Linked DNA regions of Coturnix japonica. The protein of the gene in region 2 purifies or fractionates together with the protein of the main gene of each other region. This does not show direct contact. Links are inferred from orthologs where the notes say so. Each region holds a gene or a part of one and is shown on either strand. Other genes may lie near its edges.

Evidence for each region.
Region 1: the proteins of BAZ1B (region 2) and SMARCA5 purify together in Homo sapiens (affinity purification with western blotting; 11 studies listed by BioGRID and IntAct, with this or other methods). This does not show direct contact. The link is inferred for Coturnix japonica from reciprocal best matches to the Homo sapiens genes BAZ1B and SMARCA5.
Region 3: the proteins of BAZ1B (region 2) and MYO1C purify together in Homo sapiens (affinity purification with western blotting; 3 studies listed by BioGRID, with this or other methods). This does not show direct contact. The link is inferred for Coturnix japonica from reciprocal best matches to the Homo sapiens genes BAZ1B and MYO1C.

What each region holds. Positions count from the first base shown.
Region 1 is NC_029519.1:26,881,578-26,885,155, forward strand, and holds part of SMARCA5 (SWI/SNF-related matrix-associated actin-dependent regulator of chromatin subfamily A member 5), read left to right. Parts: intron 1-64; coding exon 65-196; intron 197-930; coding exon 931-999; intron 1,000-1,557; coding exon 1,558-1,667; intron 1,668-1,936; coding exon 1,937-2,163; intron 2,164-3,289; coding exon 3,290-3,411; intron 3,412-3,491; coding exon 3,492-3,578. UniProt on the Homo sapiens protein: ATPase that possesses intrinsic ATP-dependent nucleosome-remodeling activity.
Region 2 is NC_029534.1:145,377-149,692, forward strand, and holds the start of BAZ1B (tyrosine-protein kinase BAZ1B), read left to right. Parts: upstream 1-1,505; 5' UTR 1,506-1,625; coding exon 1,626-1,738; intron 1,739-4,316. UniProt on the Homo sapiens protein: Atypical tyrosine-protein kinase that plays a central role in chromatin remodeling and acts as a transcription regulator. Involved in DNA damage response by phosphorylating 'Tyr-142' of histone H2AX (H2AXY142ph).
Region 3 is NC_029534.1:4,034,655-4,038,992, reverse strand, and holds the start of MYO1C (unconventional myosin-Ic), read left to right. Parts: upstream 1-1,536; 5' UTR 1,537-1,659; coding exon 1,660-1,677; intron 1,678-4,338.

The DNA.
Region 1 (3,578 bases), on a different chromosome or scaffold from region 2:
TGTTGCTAGGTGATGGCAATACTAGTAATGTATTTGTACTCACTGATGTCTCAATCTCCTTCAGTTATCAGAAATTGTGAGAGAATTCAAGACTACAAATCGGCTGCTCCTAACTGGAACTCCACTTCAGAACAACTTGCATGAACTCTGGGCACTTCTTAACTTCCTTTTGCCAGATGTCTTTAATTCATCTGAGGTAAGTCTTAATTGATGTTAGAAAAATTAAGTGACTGGAAATTAATTTTCAGATTTGAAAACATCTCAACGTATGTGTATATGTACTTTGTATTATCAGTTACTTATGGTGATAGATTGACAGTCAGTAAATGCTTCCAATATTGTATCTTATAAGATAGTAGGTAAGCTAATTTTTACAGCTTTGCTGTTTCTAAGGGCTAATGTGAGCATTGCAGATATGAGGTGTCTCAAATTACAGTGTGAAGATGATCTTTACTGTGTTTCACAGTAGGATTAAATATTGGTGTAGCAGTTTACTTATTACATTTAACTGGAAGTTGCTGTATTATTTGTTTCCTATGAGTTGGGAGATACTATGTACTCCACAGTAGACTACACTAAGAGCAAGAGAACTGCATCACAGTACTGTTTAATTACTTCTTTGTAATAAGTGTAGAAGTCGAAGCCTCATGACTTGTTAGATTAGAATTGTCCTTCAATTATATATATATATTATATATATAATATATATTATATATAATGCTTTATATTTTATATATAAAATAAATAATATATATATATATACACTATGTAGTATATATTTATTTTATTTTATTTTTTAACACCAAAAGGGGTTTTGTGATTATTTATTTTCTGCTTAACAGAATGACTTGAGTCTTACCTATTCCCCATTGTAATGGTACTGCACCTTGAAAGAACAGCTCTTACATGTCAGTCATTTTGTTGTTACAGGACTTTGACTCATGGTTTGATACGAACAACTGTCTAGGGGATCAAAAGTTGGTGGAACGTCTCCATATGGTAAGTCTTCATGCTTTCTGTGTGTTACATTTACCTAAGTTAGGTTGTAATTTTTCTAGTACTTCTTGTGATGAGATTATTAAGGTTATAAGAGCTTATTCCAGAAACTGTGTCACGTTTTCAGAAAAAACCAAAGGATGTCAGTTTGTTCAAAATAAGGTAGTTTTTCTGGGGGAGAGAGGAGAGTATATTCTTCTGGCTCTCAAGGTTCTGAAGATACTTGCATTTAAAATGTTAGCTTTCAAGGCACTGCAAAGATTTCAGCTAAGTGAGGTTTAAAACAAAATTACCTAAATGGTCAGAAGTGTTCTACTAAAAGATTGGGAAAACTTCATAATTCTTGTCCTGAAAGTCATGACCTAGAAGATTTGGAGTCTTCCTAGGAAAACTGATGTATGTTCCCATGTATAACAGCCCGCCTATGTTGAGAGCTTTTTCAGATGATCGGGCAATGGCACTGGCATTTGGGTACATAGAGGAGAAAATAACTGCAGTGCTGTTACTGATTGGTTCAATGTTCAGTTTCCAAACTACAGTTAATGATGCTTTCTTTTTCAGGTTTTACGACCATTCCTTTTACGTCGCATTAAAGCTGATGTAGAGAAAAGTTTACCTCCAAAGAAGGAAGTTAAAATTTACGTGGGTCTCAGCAAAATGCAACGAGAATGGTAATTCACATACTTGAGTGTGCTGTGGTTAAGGCTCAGAAGGAATGTGCTGATTGTGGCTCAGTTATTGTGTGGAACTCAATTCCTTCCACTATACTAGATTCTTCTTTCTCTTCTTATGACATTTATGCAGACAAAACTGTGCAGATAAGAGTGAGAAGAGTGAGCTACCCAATTAAATTAAAGGGGGTGAGCTTTTGAATATACCATGTTATTTCACTTTGCTTTATAGTTACTAAAGAGTTTTTTTTTTTCTTTCTTTCATATAGGTATACAAGAATCTTAATGAAGGATATAGATATTTTGAATTCTGCTGGAAAGCTGGACAAAATGAGACTGCTGAATATCCTGATGCAACTGCGAAAATGTTGCAACCATCCCTATCTCTTTGATGGAGCAGAACCTGGTCCACCTTACACAACAGATATGCATTTAGTCACCAACAGTGGCAAGATGGTAGTACTGGACAAATTACTACCAAAGCTGAAAGAGCAAGGTATGCATCACTTCGTTGTTTTTTAGGTGTTGTTCAGTTCAGGTATAAAAATGAAAATCAGAGTCTTCGTGTCTCCTGCACAAAAAGGAGCACGCTATGAAGGATTGTGGTTGATTTCTAAGCATTACACCAGCTTCTTGAGCACTGTATCTTAAATAATTGATAGTGTCTTCATAAATAACTGAGTTGACAGTCCATTACAGCTTTTTGTGGCTCTGAAGGAGGTTTTGGTATGTGTAAGTTTGTTTTCCAGGGAAGCTGAGGCCACAGAAGCATCAGTTGGTCTGGGCTTTAGGTTTGGTTTCTCAGTAACATTGGCTATGTGTAACATAAAGATGTGGTATATTAGCCACTGCTTTGGTTCACCATCGTGTACCATTTCATATTCCAAGTCTTCACGTTGGGTTAAAGTCATATCCTGTGTGCAGTGTTGTTCTTTCAGGATATGACTTTGTACGGCATATGAGTTTTTTCAATGGATTCCTCAAGACAAACATGGAGGAACACGTCAGCTATTTTGTTTTTTTTTTTAATTTTAATTTTTTAAGTTTTACCAGGGACAAAGCTATGGAGTATATTACTGTTAAGTCACCAAAGAAGCAGAGGAAAACTTGTGACTGGGGAGACATTGCTGAAAAACAGAAAATCCAAACCTCAGCCTTAGATAACATAAAAGTCATTTGTGTTTAGTATCCAACGAATATTCAGGTGGAAGATGCAGATCACCACAGCTGTGTCTCTGTCATCCTATTTAGATGTCATTTGAACAGTGAATATGCACTGTATTTAAAGAATAATTGTGTTTAAAGCATTGGGAATTCTTTGCAGTACTTGATAGCAACTTCTGCAGCTCTGCATTCTGTAATATACAGAAGGGTTTGAAGTCACACTGGATTGCTAATTCTTTCACGTTCTTATAGCTGCTCAGTAAAATAGCATATTTTCAACATATTCTATTTTATGTGTATGTATAGTACTGAAAACTTTTTAAATCAGACTTTTAATTATAACTACTGTTGTTCATGGTATATGCAACTGCTCTCCTTCCCTTTCTAATTTGGCAACTTGGAGTGTTTGATGAAGCTTAAGCTTTGGAGAAAACATAAAGGCTTTTTATCCCAAACAGGTTCACGAGTCTTAATCTTCAGCCAGATGACCAGAGTTCTGGATATCTTGGAAGATTATTGCATGTGGCGAAATTATGAATACTGTAGACTGGACGGACAAACGCCTCACGACGAAAGACAGGTATATAAGTATTTCTCTTACACAAAAACAGCATTTATAAAACATTTAGTGCAACTGATGATAATGTTCTCTTTATTCAGGCTTCTATTAATGCGTATAATGAACCTGGTAGCTCAAAATTTGTCTTCATGTTGAGTACACGGGCAGGAGGTCTTGGAATCAATTTG
Region 2 (4,316 bases):
CGGCTGGGGACACCCCAGCAGCAAAGGGAAGGAGCAGAGCCACACAAATCATCATCAGTTCAGGACCCGCCTGGTGGGCACAGACATTGCCTCGTGTCAGAGGTGGCAGAAATCCACCTGGGAAAAGCACGGCAGAAAGTTTAGCACAGTCTCCTTGGGAGACATCAAAGCAGCATCAGTCATCTAATAGGATAAGTAACATAAGCTGTTACACAAAGAGGAGCCCTAATGGGATATCACGTTATGCTGGAGACGGTTTGATGTATCTGGGCCACTGCTCGCTAAATCCTCCCTGAAGACTCTTCTGTGGCTGCTCTGGCTGCAGGATTAATCAGCTCCCTCCCGTTTATCACAGACGGGGGCTCTGGCCTCCTGTAGCTCCGGGCACGATGCACCGCGGGACATGGCACAGAGGGTGCAGGACCCAGGGCAGGTCCTGCATTGGGCCGGGGATGATGCTGCAGGACAGTGGGGCAGCCGGCGGCTGCAGGAGCGGAGGCAGCCAAAGCCCACAGCTGTAACATGGGCACAGGGGGACGGGCACCTCAACAGCTTCCGTGGAAACACGGAGCCTTCTGTCAGAAACAAAAGCTGCAGAACTGCATTTCAACAGCTATAAAGGGGTTTTATATACATCCTTCTGCAGGAACAAACATTCTCTGACCCCTCGGGTTACAGTGAGGTGCAGCACAAGGCAACTAATGGGAGCACCTGGCAGCAGCTTAGAGGAGGTAGCACGGATCTGTGGCAATATGTGATTGATCGCCCCCTGTATCACAGCCAGGGAAACGAACGGGGGCTACGAACCCTCCGGGCTCGTTTCGTGCTGTGAGAGCGACGGGAAAAGGCTCCTGAGCCCCTGAGAGCTGTGAATAAGTGACGGCACTGAACGGACCGCCAGCAAACCGCAATGGGTCCAAAGGGAGAATGTGAACTTTAATTAACGCAACGGCTGCCGGGAGCTCGGGGAGCTGCGGGTGAACGGCGCAAAGAGCCGAGCAGCAGCTGAGACAGCGGGGGTGAGAACCGGGACTGCGGGGCTGAGCGCGGGGCTGGGCACGGCGCTGTGCATCGCGGCACTGTGTATTGCGGGGCTGTGCATCGCAGCACTGCGCGCTGCCGGCCGCCGTCCCGCCGGTTGTTTACAGCCGTCCCGCCGTTACTCCCCGTCCCGCCGCGCACAGCGGTGCCGCCACTTTCCCACAATGCCCCTCGGTTCGGGCCGAGCAGACAAAGCCGCGCGGTGCCCGGATGTGGGGGCGGGGCCGACCCCGATTGGCCGCGGCGGGACGGGGCGGGCGGACACCGGCGGCACAAGATGGCGGCGCGTCCCGCCTTACATAACGCGACCTCTCACCTCGCGCGCGGCGCAACGCAGCTTGATGCGCCGGGGGGGGCGGGGCGAGGCGGCGCGATCGGCGGATGCGGCGGCCAATCGGAAGGCGGCGTTGCCGGCCGTCCTCCAATCGAATCGCGGGGCGGAGGGGGGGCGGGAGGCGCGGGGCGGCGGGAGAGTTGGGGTGCGCGCGCTCGGGCCGGGCCCGCCGCCCGGCAGGGGAGGGGAATCTCCCGCCATTTTTCAATCCTCCCGCCCGGCCCGGCGGCTCCGCGCGGACCCGGCCCCGATGGCGCCGCTGCTGGGCAGGAAGCCCTTCCCGCTGGCCAGGCCGCTGCCGGCCGGGGAGAGCGGGGAGCGCTTCATCATCCCGCACACGCAGGAGGCGTTCCGAACCCGCGAGTATCCTACGGCACCGGGAGCCGCGGGAACAAAGGGGCGGGCGGCGGGAACGGGGCTGAGCCGCCACACGGCGGGAACCGGGCTGCGACCAGCGGGACCGCGGCCTCGGGCAGCGCCGGGAGCGGGGCGACCCAGTAACGGGAACCGAGAAACAACGGGAACCGGGGAGGAGACAAAAGAACTGCCCGGAACTCGGGCCCGTCCCGCGCTGCACAACGGAACGGGCGGGAGGAACCGGGAGGAGCCGAGTCACTGCTGCTGACCGGAGGAACCGGCCTGAGGCGCAGCTCGGAGCGGGGCCGCCATGGTGGCAGCCCGGGCTCGGGGACCGCAATAGGGGCTGCAATGGGGCTGCAATGGGGCTGCAATGGGGCTGCAATGGGGCTGCAATGGGGCTGCAATATGGGGCTGCTATGGGGCTGCTATGGGGCTGCTATGGGGCTGCTATGGGGCTGCTATGGGGCTGCTATGGGGCTGCAATGGGGGCTGCAATATGGGCTGCTATAGGGGCTGCAATGGGGGCTGCAATAGGGGCTGCAATAGGGGCTGCTATAGGGGCTGTCGGCCCAGCGCCTTCTGGAAAGTTCACGCCGGCAGAGAAACGTCACGGGCTGCAAACAGAAAGTACCGCTGTGTTACCGCTGCGTTTGTGCCGCGTGCGATGGAGCCGGGCGGGAGCTGGGTCCCGTGGGGCCGGTTCGTTGGCTCCAGCTGCACCAAGTGCTGTGTCCGGCTGCCGGCCTTTCCCCACCCGGGGAAGCGGTGAATCAGCTCCTGCCCTGCGGGATCCTGTGGTGCCCATCCGTCAGTGAGGTGTGTGATGGCACCGCGTTCACAGAACACAGGGACCGCAATGGTCAGGAGTCTCCAACCCCATCGCCACAGACACGGGCACCAGCCGCCACATCTAAACGGGGCCAGGCTGCCAGGGCCCCATCCAGCCTTGCACACGGGCAGGGATGGGGATGGAGTTCTGCAGGGCTCTTCAGAATTTGCTGCTGTAGAACAGGGTGAAGAAAAATACGGGCACTGTGGCATTGTCTGGTAAATGTGAGTAGTCACAGCTGTCCCGTGACCCAGCATTGAGGAGTCTGAGGGCAGATGGGCAGAGTGGCCTGGGACTTTATTTGGCTGTGACGTTCCTTTGTAGCTTCGTTCTGCAGCCAAGGCCTGAGGAGTCGATAAGAGGAGCCGTGCTGCCCGTGGGTCCGGGACTCACGTGGAGCCCATAGTGCACTGAGTGAGTGGGTTTAGTGTGGGCAAAGTGCTGCAACGGGCTGCTCCCGGCTGCAGCCCTGCAGGCACTGCTGGAACACGTGGGCTGCGGAGCAGATCAATGCTCCATGTGCTGTGTGTGGGATAGACCTGTCCTGGTACCTCACTGCACACCTGGGAAAGCCAACGGGGTGTGTGTGTGTGCGCTGTGTGTGTGTGCACTGTGTCAATAGGTGTGTGCACTGTGTGTGTGCACTGTGTCAATGGGGCTTCATGTCAAAATGTGGAGTTGTGTTCATTGGATCATCTCCCTGCGCGTGTTGGCTGCTGTGTGACTCCATCAGGCAGTGTGAGGGGATGCTGGCCGGGCTGTGCTGAGCAGAGCAGCCCCTGGGGCTGTTGGAGCTCATTTAGGTGATTGTAGCTGTGATACAAGCTGCAGGTAGTTTGTTTCATGCAACGTGTGTGTTACAGCACTGTGTTTCTGTGCACTGTCTGCACGGAGCCGTGTCCATGGTTGGTTATTTATGCTCATGCTGAGCTTTGTGGCAGCTCTGGCTCAGTGCTGCTGGCACATCCCACGTGTCGCACTGTGCCAGACCTGCTGCATGGTCTGAAGTGCACCGCGTTTGTTTCCAGTCCGAGTGGAAAGGGCAGACAGTGTGTGTGTGTGTGTGTGTGTGTGTGTTGTGGGAAGTTTGAGATGCAGCAAACTTTGCAGAAGCGTTCTCTGCTGTTTGCTTTGGTGCTTGCAGGGTGGGTGTCCGTGTGCCTGCAGCGAGCAGGAAGAGCAGAGGGATGCGCAGTGCAGGAGGGAGCTGGGAGCTGCTCTGTCTCTGTTTGCATCCCTGCCAGTGAGGGCTGGGCTGGCTTCCCTTCTTGCAGGGAAGGCTCAGGAAAGAGCAGAGTTATGGCGTCAAGTTGTTCATTACTAAAGCGGCCGAGTGCTGTGATACGTGCAGGGCTGCTGGCTTCCTGTTGTATTTCTGCTGCTCGGTGTCAGTGCAGAGAGGTGCCCAGATCCCCCTCTGGTCCTGGTGCCTTGTGTGCAGGAGGCCACAGGCTGCTGGGCTCTGTGTCCACAGCCAGGGAGCACTGGGAGGTTGTGAGCTGTAAGCTGGGCTGACTGCAGGGTGCTCCGTGTGCTGCTGCAGCCGCCCCTGGGCTGTGAGTGCAGCTGCCTGGCACTGCTCAACTCCTGCAGCTCCTGCTCTGCCTCGGGGCTGGGGAGCGATGCCCAGGAGATGTGGGTTTGTTGCAGTTGTGACTTGCCTTCCTAATGCAAATCTTAAAGCAAAAGGAAGGAAACAAAAACAAACCACCACCAAAAAAAAAACCAAACACCCAGAACAACAAAAAATCC
Region 3 (4,338 bases), about 3.9 Mb from region 2:
TAGAGTGGATGGCACCTGAATATTCAGCTGATGGGTTTGTAATGACGCACCAAGTTTGAAACCTCTGAGCTGCAGGTGCAGATTAGGTGTTCTGTGTGTGGGCAATGCTTTGTACACAGGATAAACCTGCATTGAATTTGCAGCCATTTGTCAAGCTCCTTGCTAATTGTAGAGTCACACACGATGAAACATTTGATGAGAGAGGCCTGTTAAGAGCATAGAATAAAGGATAATGGGCGACAATACGCTCTGTGTGGATTATGACTGTGTTGTGAGACTTGCAGACAGAAACCCATCTTTTCCATTAGCCACTAAGAGTCACGTCAATTGGATGACCAATTTTATTGTTGCTGATGCTTGGAAATGGCAGAGCATGGGACAGAAGTGTGTATGCGAGGGTCTGTCTGCCCACTAGGCAGCTGTGTAGCTTAGACCACTGAGGAGCAAAATAACAGAATCACTGAACAGTTTGGATTGGGAAGGACCTGTGGGAGACTCTGGTGCAACCCTGCTTTAAAGCAGGGCTGATTTAGATCAGATTGCTCAGCCTTTGTCCAATTGAATCTTGGGTATTTCCAAGCGTGGAGTTTCACAACTTTTGGGGGCCTCTATTGTGGTATTTGATGGCTGTTATAGTAGGTTAAAAAAATGTCATAATATCTCCTTGGAATTTCCCTGCTCTCCACTTTGTCATTGCCTCTTGTCCTTTCACTTCCACTTGATGCATATGCAAAGGCAAATATACATTTTGATTTCTGTCAATGCCCTCATCTCAGGGCACTGATGGTTTTCACAGCCTCGGTGTAGTGATGGCCAATATGCCCTGATGACCCGCAGGGCAGAGAAATGTGCCACTTGTGATTGCAGTGCATGGTGATTAAAGGCAACAGGGGCTTCACCGTGCCCAGTAATGGAGTGTCCTATGTGGCAGTGCTGGTTATTTGGTGACGAGAGCTTCCATAGAAAGTGGGTGTTCTGAGAGCGGGTGTCTGCAAATGCTTGGGAATAAATATTGCTGAGCAAATATACCGAGTCCTTGCAAGGACGGACAAGGCAGACTGTGTTACCTGTGGACTCTTTGCGGTCCTGTGACTTGCTGAGAGAATGATGACAAGTGGAATTATAATTATACTATAATTGCCCAGGAGGTTCTGCTGTGGTTGGGGTGAGTCTGGAGTGGATACGGGGAGCCCTCTTGATACAGCTGCTGCTGTTTCAGTGCAGAAAGGAATTACCGTAGCGGAGCAAATGGCTTCCTGTCCTGTTTGCTGTGGTTTGGCTTGTTGGGCTGCACACCAGTTTTTCCATCACCCGTGATTACTTTTCTTTCCGTTTTTCCCCCCATTGGGTTGCAGGGACCCAGCTGCAGGCTGAAGGCAGAGGACAGCCGACTTCTTTCCTCTCCCCATGTGTGCTGTGTGTCCCCTCGTAGCAAGGGGAGGAGAGTTCCCCTCCCTTCCATTGTAAAACGCCCTCTCTAGGATGCTCCAGTAGGAGCTGGTGGGAGGGAAGGAGTTCTGACTGCGCTGAAAATGTCATTAAAAAAAAAAAAAAAAAAGGGCAACTGACAGAAGAGAGAATTTGTCCTCAGATTCCTGCTTTATGCAGCGGCGTAAACCAAGTCTCTGAAAGTGCTGAGAGAGCTGGAAGGAGTCAGAGATGAAGTACAGAGGCGCGGTAAGCTTTATTTTACTGCTTTGATATTTGTGCGGTTTTCGGCTGTGTGCTTCTCCGTCTTGTCTAGACTGAGAGGAAGAGAAATAAGTTTAGAAGGTTTCAGCATAAGAGTGGAATGTTTGAGCCCGCTTTAGTGGGAAGGTTACTTGAAAGTGGTTGGAATAGGGGAAAAAACCAAACAGAACATAAATGTATTGAGGCAGCAGTGAAGGTGGGAGTTCGGAAAGTGGGAAGTGAGGGCTTAGCAGCACGTTGTGTTAGGGGAGAAGAAAGGGTGGAGCTTTTGCTTGGGTGGAGGGGACACAAGCCTGGGAGTACCGTGGTGGTGGGCACTGGTTGTGTCCCACCCAGGGACTGTGCCCATGAGTACAGACTGCCACAGGGAATGGCAGGAAATACCTGCTGAAGGACTCACTGCCATTCTGTCCCTCTGGGATGTATTTACTTTAGCACAACTTTGTCCATGCTTTAGCGGCAGCCAGGAAGCCTGAGTCTGTGCGCAGCACAGCAGAGCTACCCAGAGCTTTGAAATGTGTAGCAAATGATGGAGGAAATTAGGGTTATTACATAGAAAACATGAAAAAGAGAGGAGAAAAAGTAACATACTATGTAATTTGACAGTGAGGGCAGAACACGAGCTCCTGTTCTCTGTGCGGTAACGTAGGAACAGGGGCATTCCATTTGGTTAAAAGCTGTCAAATGTTTGTGATTGCTGTCAAATGCAGTGATTACTGTCATACAGTTTGTAGTTGTGCCACGGAATTCACTGACCCTGGAAGATGCTGAGGTCAAGAATTTAACATTATTAAAAAGGGGGAAAAAGTGGATGTGGGGTTTTGTCTGGATGAGAATATCCAAAGCTTTAATTGGTTAAGTTTGCAAATCTGGGAGGAGAAGGAATGAAGACAACTCAGTTCTAGGTTTAAACAATTCTCCAACTGTTGAACTGGGGCCAGAGTATCCCATAACTGCTCAACCTGGAGATCCTTGCATCTTTCCCAAGGAGTCCATCTGATGCTGAGCTCTGCATGAGGAACTCTGTCCATGCCAAAGGGAAGCACAGAGCTTCTGGAGGACCTGCCTGCCTGCTCCCAGCAGCACGATGCATTTATAGGTGGAGTGCATTGTGCTTAAGGATTGTGGTTGGCTTTCTCTTGGCACAGAGGATGGTAGGAGGCAGCCAACCTGTGTCCAGCAACACAATACAGAAACAGTAGTTTTTTAGGGTGATAGCAGTGGTGTTGTCTAGGGTGGTGGTTTGATATTCTCCTAGAGAGCATGTGGGTGTGGAAGTGCCCTTCGCATGCACTGAGAATGCATTGCAGTGCTTGCCCTGTTTGGAAAGTTTTACTGTGTTTGAAAGACATAATGGTCTGAAATGGTTGTGTGGGGCGTGTGGAATCCAGGGCAGAAGGTGGGAATCTCTAGTGCGGGGAAAGGCAGAGTACACCAAGAATAACAGTGAGTCACACAGTGTACAAATATGCGAGAGAGAAGAAAGAATGTGTTCATTTAGAGAAGACTACAACAGCAGTTAGCAAAAAGCAGGGAATGGGGCCACAAGGTCAGCACCCCATTGCTGCGGGCTGGGAACAAGTCCAAGCCATGGTGCTTATCTGTAGGCTGATGTTTGAGTTTCTGTTCCCTTCTCACCTGCTTTGTCTGATGCAGAGGTGGTGGCAGAAGTTCTCTGGAAGTGTTGTGGAAGGGCAGTGGTTCCAATGTTTGCTCTTTCTGCCATCTGTTTGTCTTCTGAAGCTTCTGCTGGACCTGAGCTCACAGGTAGCACTGCTGTGTATATTGAAATCAGCAACATCTATCAACTAGCAACAGCTTTATGCCACCTGTTCAGGAGCAAAAATGTCAGGTCCTTAAATACAGGAATTCACTTTATTCACATTTCCAGCCTTGTTCGTGTTCCTGGTTTGCCTCATTCATTTTTCTTACCACTCTTTTATATTGAGCTTCTTGATTGAAACATGAGCATCCCTTCTTGGGGAAAACATTTTTTCTCTCCTTCATATTAGTTCTTTAAACTTATTCTTTTCAGTTATAATCTCTTCTCTATATCCAGTCTTTCTTCCTCCATCCCAAAGGTGTATCATCAGGAAAATATGTTTAAATATTGAACAAACAACATTTCCTGCTTCTCGTGCAAATCTCCGTGGCTCCATTTGGTTTACAGCTAATTGTTATTTGCATTTCTAATTTACATTTGAGCTCCTTGGATAGATTTCTATTATAAATATTGCAAGTGTCAAACGCCATTGATTGATATATTAGGAGTGGTAATTAACTGCAGCAGCACCCACACCCTGCATTATTATTTTTCAGAAGAATGAATTTTACTTTCACAGTTCTATCTCTCTGTGACCTACATGCATTTAATAGACACTTAAAATATGCACACAGTGTGATTACATTGCTCACGTTCCCCATTCTGCTTTGCATTTTAGGGTGGGAGATTAAATGTAGCTTGGAGAAGGGGAGGCAGGACTTGTAGCTTCCAGGCAGATTGATGCTAGAGACATAATAAATCTTGGGGAGGGCAAAATAAGCTCGCTTCCCCTATATTTCTGATTATGTAAAGTTTTAATGTACTCCAGCTTGTCTCTGCTTAAAATATGGAAGACTTCAAAATAAATACTTTACAGGAATTAG